Oreochromis niloticus: one gene and its partner. The protein of the gene in region 2 purifies or fractionates together with the protein of the main gene of each other region. This does not show direct contact. Links are inferred from orthologs where the notes say so. Each region holds a gene or a part of one and is shown on either strand. Other genes may lie near its edges.

Region 1 (8,066 bases), on a different chromosome or scaffold from region 2:
ACTTTAACCTTAGAAAAATGTTGCATTCAGGCTTCTGAAAGTATTTGCTACTCACATGTTTCCAAGTAAAATTACTGACAATTCCTATCTAATGTTCATGTGATCTACATTATGGACTATTTTATGTTGAGAAAACTGTTTTACTTCACTTGCTTCTCAGAAAATTCACATATTTAATTATCTAGAGAAAAAAAAACCCTAAAAGTTTAGGCTTCATGTACCCGTTTGCTCTAGATGTTTTCTGACTTCCTCCTTGCACTCATCAAACTTCACCTTGAACTTCTGAGCATCTGTAAACAGAACATAATGTAACAATTTAAAATCCAAGTTAAAAAGCTCTGGGAGAATTGATGTGTAATGTTGAAGTGGGTACCTAAATACTTACTTTCAGCATTTAAAAAGCGGATTGCCAGAAGTTCGGGTTTGGGGCATTCATCTGCATAATCAGCTAGTGTGTTCCACACCCATGCTCTGTCACTGCCAGCATTGGGCTTCAGCTCCATCATTGGTAAAACTGTGGTTAACAAGAACACATTAAGTGCAGGTATGACCACAGTCACTAAAAGGGATTTGTTTTAAAAATCTAGTAGTTTGCCCCCTCCCCATCTAGTAGTTTCATAGGGAATTAGACACACAGGTGCACCATTTCTTTATCTCCCCTCAGGAGTGAATGGAAGAGTAAAACACTCATGTATCTCAAGTCAAACACACACACACACAAAATAAATAAATAAAAAAAAATAAATAAATAAATAAAAAAAAAATCACAGTCTGGATTGTATCACAACCGGATGAGATTACAAGCCCCAGTACCTCCAACACCCACACCTCAACCTCTCGTTTCCTCATCTATAGTTCTGTTGTTGCCACTAATACCAGGGATTTCACTCATTTAACCATTGTGGGGAAGGGGGACGGGGGGATCACATGGGGCCTGTGGTCTTTTTGTATTTACATGTACATCAGAAAATGTTTGCAATAAAACCAAGAAAAAAAATCCTTGGACACACCAGTCAGTGAGCACACCCAGGATTTAAATAACACATCTTCACACCACTCTACCTGTACCACCACTCAGAAATATTGTTTAGGTTACATATGGCCAATTGTTGTCATGACATGAACAGCAATGAAATCAGATTTCTCAATTTGACTCACTGTGATGGTTGGCACAGATCTTTAAAGTTCGATCTCTCCTCATCAGGAGGCGGATTGTGCCCTTCTCTTTGTGTTTCAGCAGCTTGACGTCTCCAGTTCCTCTCTCCTTCCACTCTGGCGGGTCGTTTTCAGAGGCAAAACGATATAGTTTGGCCCGCCTATGAAAACAGCAGAACACCTCAGTATTTCGAAACTGATCAATGTATCTCAGTTAATGTGTTCACATGGTAAGCAACTTGCATTTTAAACAGCTCCTCCTCATCCTCCTCTAATGTTTTCACATCCTGCTCAGGAAGAGACACGATGGGCTCAAAGTGGGGATCATGATTAGAGTCTTCTGCACCATCTGCAGTGGTATCGTGGTCTTCCTGGTCCTAAGAGGAAAAGCACATTAAATTAACTCAATTCCCCCCCCAAGAAACTACATGGTTTTAATGTCATTCTTTAAATTCAACATTTGAATTCTAACAAATGAGCCACAGAGGATGAATTCTTCACTAGTGTTAATAGAGTTCAGTGTTAAAGATCCATCATTTTCTTCCACTTATCCAAAGGCTCTCAAATACAAAACTGATAGACAACAAACGTATTTAATATTAAAAAGTTAAAGAGAATAAAGATGCTAACTATTAAAACCATTGGTCAACCAGACTTAAGTGATAAAATCGACCTGAGCTATTATAAGCATCAATTAACTAATTATTAAAGGGACACTTTATTCTTACCTGCTGCTAGCTTTGTTTGCAAGTACACTGGCTACCCGCATAGCAAGTTAGCACTAACCCAATATATCGCTTAAGTCTTTTCTAATACAGGTATCCTAACATTAACATGACTGACATTATTAAATAAAAATCAGTACCACCATATTTCAATTAATGCTGTCACTGTGTTGGATATTTAGACGCATACTGTAAAACTTTGCTAAAGTTGTAGCTTTTACTTTATTATTGTCATCAAATACTTATCCAACTTTATTTTTTCCTAAGACAACTCGTTGTGAACTTGCCTAGCTAGAAACACAGGCCTTTCACTAGCCGGCTAGCCCGGAGCTACCAATCGGACTTTCTCTTTTCTTGCACCTCTGTGCATTTTGCTCAGCACAACCGCCGTATTTTTTCATTAACTTGTGTGATTTTCGGCCAGTCTATTCAATGTAACACCGTCATTGCTAACAGACAGTAAACAGCGCCCTGCTATAGCGCTAACACTAGCTAACTAATGTTAGCAAGTATTGTGCTTGGCAGACAAAGGCAAGCAACCTAGCTAACCTCGTTGCCCTGAGCTAGTGAGAAGTATACTAACTGAAAAATACCCCGTTTAAAAAACTGACCGTTGTGATCGTCTGGTAGAAGCACTAATGTTCTTTCGCACATCACCTCCCTATGCTAATGTTCACAGTATGAAGCTAATGTTAACACGTTTGCTGGCTGGACACTTTGAATTACTGAGCTCGTGAACTGTAACGGAAGTGTTAAGAGTGGAAAATTTTACAACGGTTACACTGTGCATTTTCATAAGTCCATTGGCGTTCCGTTACCTTTTACATCACTAAAAAAATATCAATTAGTGGATCATAGCATCACCAAAGACAAGATGATTGTCGGCATTTCTTGCACACGGCTTCCTTTCGAAACTTTGACAAATTATGACACATGAAAAACAATGTTTGTCACAAAATTGTTATTTCCTAGCAATCATAAAGCATTACATGACCTAGAACGATAGACCTCACCTTTGGGTCTGCCATATTATTGTAGATGTTTGTAGATTATGAGAGTAGTTTGAGAGATTCAAATCCCAAACTGGCCGCCGTTTCCCTTCAGCTTCTCTCACTTCCTGCTACAGCTTTCGCGCGCCGAATTCTCTACGCATGTCCGCGCTCACGCTGTCACAGCACGCGCACCGCCTCTCTCTTCTCAGGGACAGCCGTTTTCACAAAAATGTTTTTCCTGAGATATTATTTTCAATAGAAAAACGTAACCACTTTTATCGAAAGAAAAACAGAATAACCAATAAACAAACAAACCAAAAAAACTTCGGTTTCAATAATTGTCACTTCACTTTTCGATAGGATATATTAACATGTTTTCTACAGGATCAATAACTTCTGCATACCAGTTGTAGTACCTTTATTATGTAAAATGAAATACTTGTACAACTTGAAGTGACTTTTATCCAGACTGTGACATCTGGTGGTCTGCTTGACAGCCATAGAAAAGTGCTACAAAAAGTACTAGTCCATTTACCATTTATCAATCATGGCTTCAGTGTGCAAGACAGAATACGTGTGTGAAGGAGAGAGAGACGGGGATAACAGTGAAGTTGCAAGGAGAAGAGGTAGTGAAGATAAATGAGCTTAAATACCTGCAGTCAATCATCCAAAGCAGAAAATAGTGCTGAAATACTTAAAGGCTCAACCATCTTTCTTTCTTTTTTAAACAAGTGAACTAAACAACAATATGTAATGGAGACATTACATTACAACAAAAGGACAACAGAACAAAGGAGAGATTGTGAGATATTAGTGGCATAAAGCTGAAAAGTAGTAGAAAACTTGCTGGTGAATGAAGCCAAATGTATCCTATCTAAATATTAACAGACTCTTTAAAATACACATTTCCCTCAATGAAAGCATGAAAACAGAGTTATGAGTGGTAAAAAAAAAAATTTCTAATGAAACCAATGAATGACATTATTTTCATAGTGAAGTCTGGTTTTAAGACAATCTGAAAAAAAATCACACACGATTCTTAATTGGCACATAATTGTTCTGAATCAACACACTTTTTCCAGTATGCTATATAGCATACTGGAAAAAAGTGGGACTATGGCAATATTCCATACATGTGTTTAAACTGTGTAAAGACTATACCATACATACAGCCCACTTTGATCTTAACTGGGCTTAATGTAAATGTGAAGAAGTTTAACTACACATTTAGTCCCCGAGATATCGCAATAAAAGGAAAAAAGTCATTTCAAAACCATTTCTCCGTTTTTATAAATTCTAAGTAAATGCTGTAGTAAAGAAGAAATCTGTTAACGCGATTCTTTGAGTTTAAATTGTATGAAATAAACGTGTAAAATGACAGCAAAAGTTCTGATACTCCATTGCCCAGACTGTGCCGTAATTATAAAACACAAAACAGAAATGAAATGAAATTAATTAACAGAAATTCTGTCCAAGTGACCAAAGTACACAAACTGAAAGCCGGTGGGATGCCTGTCACTTTAACAAAGTTCATAGTTCAAGCTGCACGTGCTTGAATCAACATGGCGGCGCCTGCTAGGTAGAAGTGGAGCAGAAAGTAAATACAGGCACGGGAAGGTAAGGAGCTCTCGTGAAATGTTACCGCTAGTGAAAAACAGCACGCACGCAAAGTGTTCCGTTAAAATGCCAACGTGGTTCCTTTGAAGCTGCGAAGAATGTAACTTCCTGCTCGAGCTAGCATCAAGTCTTTCAGTTTGCCGTATAACCAAAACTTAATTACTGAAAAGCAGTGAATGCATGTACTGCTATGTAGGATAAACGCATTGTTTTACATATTCACCGTGACACGTTAATTGTAGCAGTTATTTGAAAGTTACACAATACCCTAAACCAGTCTTGAGAGTAGAGCGTGCGCGTTTGAAATAGTACCACTGTGTTAAAAGTTACCAGCAACATCTAGTCTTTGGTAATCTTTATGGTACTTTTTTTTCACGTTTTAACACCGTGAATGCAAGGTCCTGATAGGCCTACCTATTGTTTGGTGTTTTAGGAATCAGCAAAGTGATGGCAGATATCACTAGCAGCCCAGTGGGCATCACTCCGCCATCCCTCTCCCTGGAGGAGAAGCCTGATGACCTCGCCAAAACTGATGCTGCCAAGCCTGATGTTCAGGCTGAAGGAGAAAGCCAGGCAGCTTCTGACCCCGGCGTGTACCGCTACATAAAAGAGGACCTGTTCACATCGGAGATATACAAAGTGGAGATCAGGAATCTGCCCAGGTTCGTAGGCTTCAATGACCTGAAGAAGTTCTTGGCCAAGCACGGCCTCAACCCACACAAAATAAAGCTGTTTGGCAGGCAGACGTTTGCTTTTGTCACCTTCAAGAACGAAGAGGAGCGCGACAAGGCCATGAAGATGGTGCACGGCATGCAGTGGAAGGGCCAGGTGCTAAGTGTCAAGCTGGCCAAACCCAAGGCAGACCCCATCTTGAGGAAGAGGAAGGAGAATGAGGGGGAGAGCGCGGGAGGCCCGCCCCCATGCAAACGAACAGATGAGGGGGACGAGGAAGAGGAGCCGCTCAGTGTCCAGATAGCCAACGTTGTGACACCTCTGTGGAACGTGCCTTATGACGAGCAGCTGAAGAGGAAGGAGCAGGAGGTGGTGGCGGTTCTGCAGAAGCTGGCCAAGTAAGTGTAATATAATACAGATTTTGTGTGATTTTATAGGTAATATTGTGCTTTTTTTTTATGGGACTTCCTTACATGTCATTACAACTTAAACCTTGATGTTTCAGAGAGATCGGCAGCACCAACAAAGCCATGGTGCCGTGGCTGTTTGCACAGAAAGGGAAATACAACAACATGTGTTGTCCTCTGGAAGCCCTCCGACCGTCTCCTATACAGGTATACTTCAACTAGTCACCTTTATTTGTCCATAAAGGCAGGTGGTGATGCAACAGTTTAAAAAAAACAAACAAAAAAACACACAAGATAAAAAGTGACTAATTAGAGATGAAAAATGGCATAGATAAGTTTATTCTGTTTCACAAGCTCTCAGCTGTTTTCATGTCTCTAAATATTGTATATAATTTAATACTCATCCTTCTGACCCTGTTTCTGATCATGGCAGACAGAGTACAGAAACAAGTGTGAGTTCCTCATATCGGTGGGTGCAGATGGCGAGGATAAAACCATCGGTTTCCGCCTGGGGAAATACAAAGGAGGCTCCTGTGCTGTGGTGGGGCCGGCTGACACGTGCCACGTGCCGCCGGAGGCTAAGAAGGTGGTCAGCGAGTTTCAAAAGTTCATCAGGTATTATTATGTGTGCTCATGAGAATCTAGGAACAATTTAGTTTGGGGAACTAAAGCTGCTTGGAAAAAGTAGTTGAACCTAAACAAAACAAGAAGATGATCAAATTCATAATGTACGTGTGATGTTATTTGAGAAATATCATACAAATTAGTCACATGCTAGCAAAAAAAAAACTGAAAGCAAGTTGTCCGAATGATTTTGTTTCTAAAAGCAACTAATTGCTCAGTCTTGCTGTGATTGTTTGCAAACAGGACAACTCCATACTCTGTGTACAGCCCAGAGACATATGAAGGACACTGGAAGCAGCTGACTGTACGTACTACGAGGACCAAACATGCCATGGCCATGGTGTTCTTCAACCCACAGGTAATGAAATGTTGAAACTGAACTCGTGCCCCATGCTTTTAAAGTTCCCCCTTTTGATTTGCTTTATTTGTTTAATGACTCTTAGAAACTTGAAGAAGAGGAACTTGGTGCTTTAAAGAACTCCATGAAGGAGTACTTCACAGAAGGAGAGGGGAAAGACAGCGGTGTGACCTCGCTGTACTTTGTTAGAGAGGGCCAAAGGTAAAACTAAACTATATGCTCAATAAGTCATAATCTGTATGAATTTAATGACTGAATGTCATCTCAATAATACTCTATTTACGTAACTCCTTTTATTTTCTTTTTGCCTGTAAAGGAAATCTCCAAATCCAGAGGATCTGCCCTGTGAGCTGGTGGCTGGAGAGAGCTGCATTCAAGAAGAAATGCTGGGTTTAAAATTCAGGATTTCTCCTCATTCATTCTTCCAGGTGAGGAAGAGCAGAAGCTGCATGTTGTGGAAGTTATTAAGTCTGGTTTGCAACTAGAATATTTCAGGATTTCTTTCTGAGGATCAGTGAACACATGTTATGGCAGGCATGGTAATTCTTTTCTGAAGTTCTGATCTCACCATGTTATCCTTCTGCAGATGGGGTGAAACGGTACTTCTCTGTGCTGTGAACAAGCAGCTAGTCTCTTCTAAGGCTCATCACAGAGCCTAACAAACAGCAGTAGATTGCTGTACTCCACCATGCTTTACTTTTTTGCAGGCATTCCTAAAATGTGGAAACATCTCGAAATACAGGGGTTAACTCAAAAGTATCCTACAAGCCTAGAGTGACTGAATTTAATACATTCATCTTATTAATCGGTGGCTAGGACACTTGGGTATGGTGTGTCCTTGGTTGGTTATTGCCAAGGCAGCAATGACCAACTTCATTGATGGTCCCAGTTGTGTTTGCCAGTTTTAACATCAGGGGGTTAGCCTCCATTAACATTCTGTGTCTGTGTGCTAGGTGAATACAGGAGCTGCAGAGGTGCTGTACTCTGCTGTGGGGGAATTAGCCAAGCTGGATCAGGACAGCATACTACTGGATGTGTGCTGCGGGACAGGAACCATTGGCATATCTTTGGCTAAGGTAATGTTTTTTGTGTCAATGTGTAAGTGTTGTGCGCATTTTCTCATTAGTCAAGAAGCAGGACAAATGCACGCTTACCAGGTGTCATGTTGCCTTTTTTCCCACTCTTATCTCTAGAGGGTGAAAAAGGTGATTGGGATTGAGATGTGCCAGGAAGCAGTGGAGGACGCCAAAGTTAATGCAAAGCTGAATGGTAGGCGTCGTGAACATCATCGCTTTTATTTTTTGTAGCATTTAGTTTGAGTAAAGTGCATAAGTTATGGTATTGATGTGATAAACTTTAGTAATTGTATGCGTGCTGCATCCCTCACTTTCTTTTTTGTGTTTTAAGGTCTAAGTAATGTTGAGTTTCACTGTGGAAAAGCTGAGGATGTGTTCCCCAACATCCTCAATGCTGTCGTTTCACCCAGTGTGACTGCTGTCGTAGATCCACCACGAGC
Region 2 (7,250 bases):
CATAAAAATAAACAGGAGTGATGTATACTACATTAAAGACACTATAAAAAAGAAATGTTTATGTAATCAGATATTAACATAAATCTACAGTTTTTTATCCACCAAAAACAGAAAAGGTGTGTGCTACTTACCAAGGCCTTTCCTGCCTCCTCTGTTTGAAAAGTGTTCAGGCACTCTTCCCAGCTGCCCCTGCTCAGCTGAGCCGGACGTGTATAGATTTCCTTCCAGCGTCACCATTACCATGTGATCGTTACCTAGTAAAGAAATCAGTTACACAAATATCCCTGTTAGGAACTCATTTATAGTGCGCACACAGTAACATAAAGCACTAAACAAAAACTTTTTCTTTTTTACCTGAAACTATTTTAACAACGTGTTCTGTTAAAGGGACTTTAACAGGTAGAGCACACGTTTTCATCGGCTCCAGAAGACCAATGACTCCATTATTATCCTAAGAAAAGAGGGTAATATGTAGACATTATTTTAGACAGTCAAAACATTAAGTAAGCAGTTGCAATTTCAAAGTCTTTTCCCTACATTGTGTAGAATTACAAGAAGATTATGATTTTATTAATCAAATTTAAATGCTTTCTGATTCCACTGCATACATACTACAATATACTAAAATAGTTTTTATAAATTTGTTTTACAGCATTAATAAATGTTTAGGAACAACATTTAGGTTTTGGATAATAATATAGTGTTGAAGGCAAAATGATTTGAAACTTTTGTAGACATAGTAAATGTAACAAAGAACAAAAACAATTACATAGAAAGTAATGGAAGGGTGATAAAAATAGTTGCTGAGACAGCACTCAGGACCAGATTGCTCCCTAACTAGCAGTTCACTAACCCTGAAGGAGCCCCAGATGTACACCGATCCATCCTCTGTGAGTGCGGCTGTGTGGCTGTCCCCTGCCGATACCTGGACCACCTTCTCATTCAGCGTCACCTTTCCCGGGATCATCTCAGACCCCTCCTCTGATGTGTCCCGACCAAGAGCCCCTTCGTCATTACAGCCAAACGTGTAAATCTAAACAAAGAAAACAGTTTACATGAGGAACTAAGAAGCTCTTTGTTAAACACTACAAAGAGGTTGCCATTACATTTTTTTAAAGTGAGAAATAAGAAAAATGTTTGCTTACATTTCCAGTTTCGCTGAGGCACACGGTGTGCATGCCTCCAGCTGTCACCTGCACAATTTTCTCTGGCAGGGACAGAAGTGCTGGCTTCTTCCTTTCAATGACATCTTCGCCTAAACCCAACTGTCCAACATCACCTTGGCCCAAAACAAGAACTTGCCCTGCCTCTTTGGAATGACTTCTGTGTGAAACTGAAACACATATACAACCAATTTCATAGTGACCATTGAATTTTATTGGTTTGATGGAAAATACAAGAAAATGATTGGGGGGGGGATAAAAACACTGACAATGTAGTGTGATACACTTGGAGCCAAAGCCTTCGTTTCACATATGTGCATAATACTTGCTTAACAGAAATATATTACTTCAGCAAACTCAAATAGAAGTGGTGTAGATGTTTAAATGCAATGCCACTTTTTAGCTGGACTATCAGTTGTTCAAACTGAATCTGGTTACCCCTCTATAAACCCCTGTTTTGAAAAAGGAAGTGACTTACCTTTCACCTTTTTGGAGTCTTTATCATCTTCCACAATAGCGGCGGACTTTCTCTTGGTGGTCGTCTTTTTGGCAGGCATGATAGCAACACTTTTGGACTTTAAGAAAACATAAGGTTGTGTGTAAATTGGGTGCGTTTCTTAACTAACTGGATAATGTGAGTTAAACAATACAACAAAGTAATTTAAACTATGCTAGAATTCTTACACCACACAAAATTAAGAAACAAAAAAGCTAAACAGGATAGTTATTAGATACCACAAATGTCTCAAATTTACAACACAAGGCAGATAATTAAGTACATGAACAGCTGACATTTAACCTACAAGTTATTTGCATGTCTACCCTGGGGATGAGTAAAGTATACATCTCTCTCTATATATATTACTTACTGATACTCATGATGAGTATTTTAATTGCAGACAGAAAAGCAACGTGGACCACAATAACAAAACACTAGTGTAACCTGGAGAAAACCAGGCTACACTAGTATGATCTCTCTAAATACAAAAGCGTTTATAGACGACAATCACCCCCAAACCAGAGTCCAGACCACAGTGGCTCTTAGACAGCACTACAGACTAGCCAGCAAACCGACATAATACACAAAAAGCCTTTATTGTTGTTATAAGTCTGCCCACCAGTTCTTAGGGTTCAACAGCTGTCGGAGCCCAATTTCAATGGTTCTTTCACCCCACAAACAGCTGTGCTTCCTTCACTCCTGCTTCTCATGCTGACAAGAGACCACTGCCCACAAAATAAGGACACGTGGTACAGTTTGAAATGAGAGTCAGTTTCAGCTTTTAGTCCCCACTATAGATCGTACGACAGACGCTGGGATTTCATAAGGAAGTACTTGGATAGTGCCATCAGCTCCTTTACAGGGCTGGACAGTTTAAATTAAGCTGCGTGATCTAACGCTGGCAGTGCCCATGTGCCCTTGCTAACATTCAGTTAACTTGGCTGTTGAACGAGTTGTATATGGTGTAAAGATTGACTGTAAATATTTGTGTCACAACGAGCAACGAACGCAGCGAGAAAGCAAGAAAGAAAATATAAGCTGTTACAGCTTAACCAAAGTTAGTTGGCCGGCACTGAAAGTAAAGCTTTTCAGCCTAACCTAACGCCGGCTAACTGTTTGCTAGCCAATGCTAGCCAATGCTAGCTGGGGTGTTAGCGTGACATTGAATGAATGAAACCGAGAAACATAATTTAACAATGTAACTGCGTGCGATTCAGCGGAGCAGTATTTCTCGATACTTGTTTAATCCATCTGTAAAGTGTAGGAGGTGATAATTTACTGACCTGTGAAATATTGAAGAGTGCAGTTTGAAGTGAACGTGCACAGCCTGGTTCCCGGTCTCGAGACGTGCAACGTTACGTTCTGTAGGACCTTTGGAACGCCCGCCTCCTTAAAGAGACAGTAACACAGGAGGATGGAGCTGATGGACACAGACAGAGGTTCACGTGTATAAGTGTATATATGTATATCTATCTATCTAGTATAAAGGGCATCAGGCGAAGCCATTTATCTGCGTAAATGAAGTAATACTTGGTGCTGGAGAAAGTACTCCTATCACCTTTCTCAGAACCGAGTAACAGCACTGGAACAGGTAACTGTGGTGAATGAAACTGGCTACAGATCAGTTATATATGTAAAAGTAATAACGTCTGGTGAAACACTCAGTTTTTATTATAACCAAAGATATGAGAGTATTTTCTACTCCTCCTTCTTCTTGTTTTGGCTGTTTCCTTTAGGGGTCGCCACAGCAGATCATCTGGCTCCATCTCACCCTCAGTACCTCAAGTACTTCAAAAAGTGCAGAATTTAAGTAAAGGTACACGTCAATAGCTGTAATAGGGCAGTGTAACAGAGTTATTGTTAACAAAAAAAACAAAAAACAAAAAAAACCAACCCCTACAACAATGTAAAAGTAGTGGTATTTTCATCTAAAGTTGAATGTGTAATATAAAACCTTTACCTTATATATTTAATAGTTCTGTTATCTTGTACAATTCACTAATTACGGAAGCTGTATGTAATGTAAAAAAAACGCTGACCAGCTGATATTAAGACAGGGGAGGTGGGCATCTTTTGATTTTCACCTTTATCCATCTTGTATCGCTTTTATGTCTCTAATTGACATTAAGAGATAAGAATTTATCAGTAACCTACAAACCTTTTTTTAGGTTGTCCCTTATCTGTATATTTTGTAACTAGATTTCCTTTTGTCCAACCCAGACCTTAAAGATCTGTGAACATATTTTACCTTCAGTCTTTTCTTTCTTTCTTTAGCTGATGCTACAACATAGCCACTTCCTCACCCTAAAGCAAGGATGTCAAACTCACTTTACACAGTGAGCCACATACAGCTCACTTTGAACTTAAGTGGGCCAAACTAGCAAAACTCTCAATTTTCTCAGTGTGAAGACCTTTAGCTACACATTTAATATGAAAAAGTGCAATTTCAACTATACCTCTCGGTTTTTTGTACACGATGAAGACATACTGCTGTAGTAAATGAAAGAAATCTATTAGCACAAATAAATAAACAATTAAAATTACAGAAAAGGTTCTTGCAGCTCACTGTCCAGACTTTTCAGTAATTACACAATTGAAAGATGTTGGTAATTCACAGAAGATTATTTTTTCACTATTATAATTATTGACTTATTTTTACTGTGGGCCCATTGTAAAAATAAATTTCTATAGTCCATATGAAAAAGCAGGAGCTTTTGATTATTGATTATTATCTATGGCTTAATTACTCCCATATGGGAGATTTTATCATTAGGAAATGATGACACCCCCACCCTATGGTGTCACCTTTTCCAATAATCTAACATATAACCTATTACCTAAAATATATTCTAATTTACACTAAAGGGCCTTAAACCAGCTAATTTTTTAAAATCAAAAGACAGTGCAAAAACTTAAACCGCCACCAGGTGTTGCTGCAAACCCACTTTTTCTTTAGACGTTCCAGCTTAGACAAAAGACTCCACCTGAACACAGTCATTAGGTAAGAGAGGTCTACTGGACCTCAGTTGCAGAGTTGTTTCACAAGAAGGTTCCAGGAATTGTAAGATTTTTAATTAGATCCAGACTATTTACAATTAAAAAGAAGACTGTCAGCTCATACAGCTCCACATTCAATTAAAAATGAACTCAGATTTACAGAAAGGTGCACTTTCATATTCCCATTCTTGTAGCATTTAATCATAAACTCATGTTCTGCTTAAAAAAATAGCAACCTATAATACTTTTATATTTAAAATTTCTTTTCAAATCAAAGGAAGACAAGATATACAGAAGCATCAGATAAACCTATATCAACTTATACACACAGCACTGAGAACCCTGTAAGCTACTGGCCAGACAACAAGACAAGGTAAAACATTTCTGCAGTTTCAAAAAGTTCCAGCCAAACTGAGTTCCTGTTGACCGATTATACATTTTCAGGTGTTTTTTTTTCTCTTTTTTGTGATAAATCCCTGATCTACACTTGAAGCAACTTACATTTAACTCTTAGTTTAGACACTATCGTAACGACCTTATTTAAAATGGCTACAGAATGTATTGCATGTTCAATCTTTAAAGGGAAGTACAAAAACTTACAAAAGAAAAAAGTATAAATGAAGAGAGATTATCCAGACGCGGTGGCACTGGATTTTGTAATGGCTCATGCAGTGGATTGCAGAAATCAGTGATATGAAAACCAGTATTGGGTGTGTTGGCACGCATTAAAACACCAACAGCCTCCTGACCTTTTCCTATAGCTATTAAAAGGCCGACACATCACAACCACAAACACAGGCAAGCCAAATAATAATAATAATAATAATAAAAAAGAAGGCTCAAAGAAAAGCTCTCACTACCCTTGTGATCAAAATTGTAATAGAAAATATTTTGTGCATCACACAATATTTTGCAATGAGATCTCTTCCAGTTTCACTCTAACGTATCACAGCAGCAGTCTGTAGAGTGGATAAAAAACACACGATATCCCAGAGATGTCCAGCTCTAAAACAGAATATCCCAGTCTTCAGCCAACTCCTGACCGTTTGTGTCTATTATTACTGTGTGAAGTGTTATAGGTCATCATTATTGTTACCATTTTTATTCTACGTTATTACATTAGCGAAGATGAGTTAGCTTTTCCATATACAGTAAAGAAGAAAAAGAAAAAGGCAACACAGGACGAGGCCGCATTAAAGGTTGTAACTATATCCGAGTCCCTGAGGGGCACCACACAACAGCAGAGTGAGAGTAAGCCCTGTAGGTCCTTTGCCACTTCTCCACTTTATTGGCACGTGGTTCCCCCTTGCCGTCTGGGAGAAATACTGCATCTGGTCTCCACCCACCAACACCTCGGTTCAGTGAAAGCAATGTAGTGAGAGGGCGATGGAGGACAAGCATGAAGCATTCTCGTGTGGAGTCGGTTCCAGGCTTTCCCTGATAACAGTACATTCAAGAGACGCAAAAGGGCGATCTGTCTGCATAGGGAGCAGCTGCTTCTTTGCCGGAGATCTTAAGTGCTTCTTTATCCGGAAGCAGGGATGTTAAGGCCGATGGAACCTAAAGAAAACAAACAGCTCTCATGAGGCAAGATCACACCTTCGTAATCCTTAAGCTATTAATGCAGGGAAATTCATTATATCGCTATTTAAGGTACAGATTTTTCTCTAAAAGTCTTCTTCTGCCAAGGTTTCATTGTTAGTGCTGGATTCTGCCATTTAACCAGGCATGCATAAGAAAGCTGACCAATCAATCAGTTTCTACATGGATCTCTCTGTTTACTTGTCACAAGTCTATTAATGTAGTAGCAAATCACCACTGCTGCTAATTCATATTTAAAGTGTTTAGGTGCAAGCAACAAAGATGGCTTTAAGTGTAAAGCAAACACAAGACACACAGTGCATGTGTAGCCAAGGCAGCCGACGTCTACAGACTAAAATAAGTGACATCCTGAAGACTGTTAAACAGTAAGTCCTTAATGATTGAGGGAGTATGAAATAAACACTTGACACAGTAGCAAGCTAACAAACTCCTTTAGCTAAAACCTGCTGCTGGGGGGAGATGTCTTCAGGATGAGCGCCAAGGTTGGCTGCAAATGGCAGAAAGTGTTCAAAGATGCATCACTCTCAAGTGTGTATTACATATTTCATTGTTTCCCTGACACAAACAGGAGAAATAAATAACAACAAAAACAAAACTGTGTGACGTTTGCATGGCTTCCCTGTGCTCCAGGTACCCGTCTTCCTCCCACAGTCCCAGGTTTTGGGAGGTCATGCATGTGAGCTCAATGGGTGATTCTAAATTGGCCGTAGATGTGAAAGTGAGTGTGAGTGGTTCATCTGTCTCTCCTTTAGCTCTGCGATGGACTCATGAGCTGTCCAGAGTGTACCCAGTTTCTCGGCCTATGACAGCTGAGATAGACTCCATACCCCACCAACATGAAGAGTGGTGTAGAAAAACAAATCAGCAAAACACAGTACCTCACTGTTTTGACCAAGTCAATCAATCAGCCAGTCAAGTTTCAACTAAAAGGTATACCTTGTGTAAATTCTGCTCTCTTCATGAACCTCCATTTCAGTGCTCTTATAATC

The links.
Region 1: the proteins of rcc1 (region 2) and ranbp1 purify together in Homo sapiens (affinity purification with mass spectrometry; 3 studies listed by BioGRID and IntAct, counting the BioPlex papers as one, with this or other methods). This does not show direct contact. The link is inferred for Oreochromis niloticus from reciprocal best matches to the Homo sapiens genes RCC1 and RANBP1.

Annotation. Positions count from the first base shown.
Region 1 is NC_031977.2:9,595,499-9,603,564, forward strand, and holds the start of ranbp1 (ran-specific GTPase-activating protein), read right to left. Parts: upstream 3,059-8,066; 5' UTR 2,909-3,058; coding exon 2,894-2,908; intron 2,810-2,893; exon of another isoform or gene 2,492-2,809; intron 1,533-2,491; coding exon 1,399-1,532; intron 1,317-1,398; coding exon 1,159-1,316; intron 515-1,158; coding exon 386-514; intron 291-385; coding exon 222-290; intron 1-221. Other genes in the region: trmt2a (tRNA (uracil-5-)-methyltransferase homolog A), read left to right, coding at 4,937-5,559, 5,667-5,775, 6,002-6,183, 6,436-6,550, 6,636-6,751, 6,867-6,978, 7,504-7,626, 7,744-7,819 and 1 more. UniProt on the Homo sapiens protein: Plays a role in RAN-dependent nucleocytoplasmic transport. Alleviates the TNPO1-dependent inhibition of RAN GTPase activity and mediates the dissociation of RAN from proteins involved in transport into the nucleus.
Region 2 is NC_031976.2:7,339,845-7,347,094, reverse strand, and holds the start of rcc1 (regulator of chromosome condensation), read right to left. Parts: upstream 3,084-7,250; 5' UTR 2,946-3,083; intron 1,739-2,945; 5' UTR 1,721-1,738; coding exon 1,642-1,720; intron 1,334-1,641; coding exon 1,146-1,333; intron 1,034-1,145; coding exon 854-1,033; intron 452-853; coding exon 355-451; intron 255-354; coding exon 132-254; intron 1-131. Other genes in the region: phactr4b (phosphatase and actin regulator 4B), read right to left, coding at 6,204-6,219, 7,198-7,250. UniProt on the Homo sapiens protein: Guanine-nucleotide releasing factor that promotes the exchange of Ran-bound GDP by GTP, and thereby plays an important role in RAN-mediated functions in nuclear import and mitosis.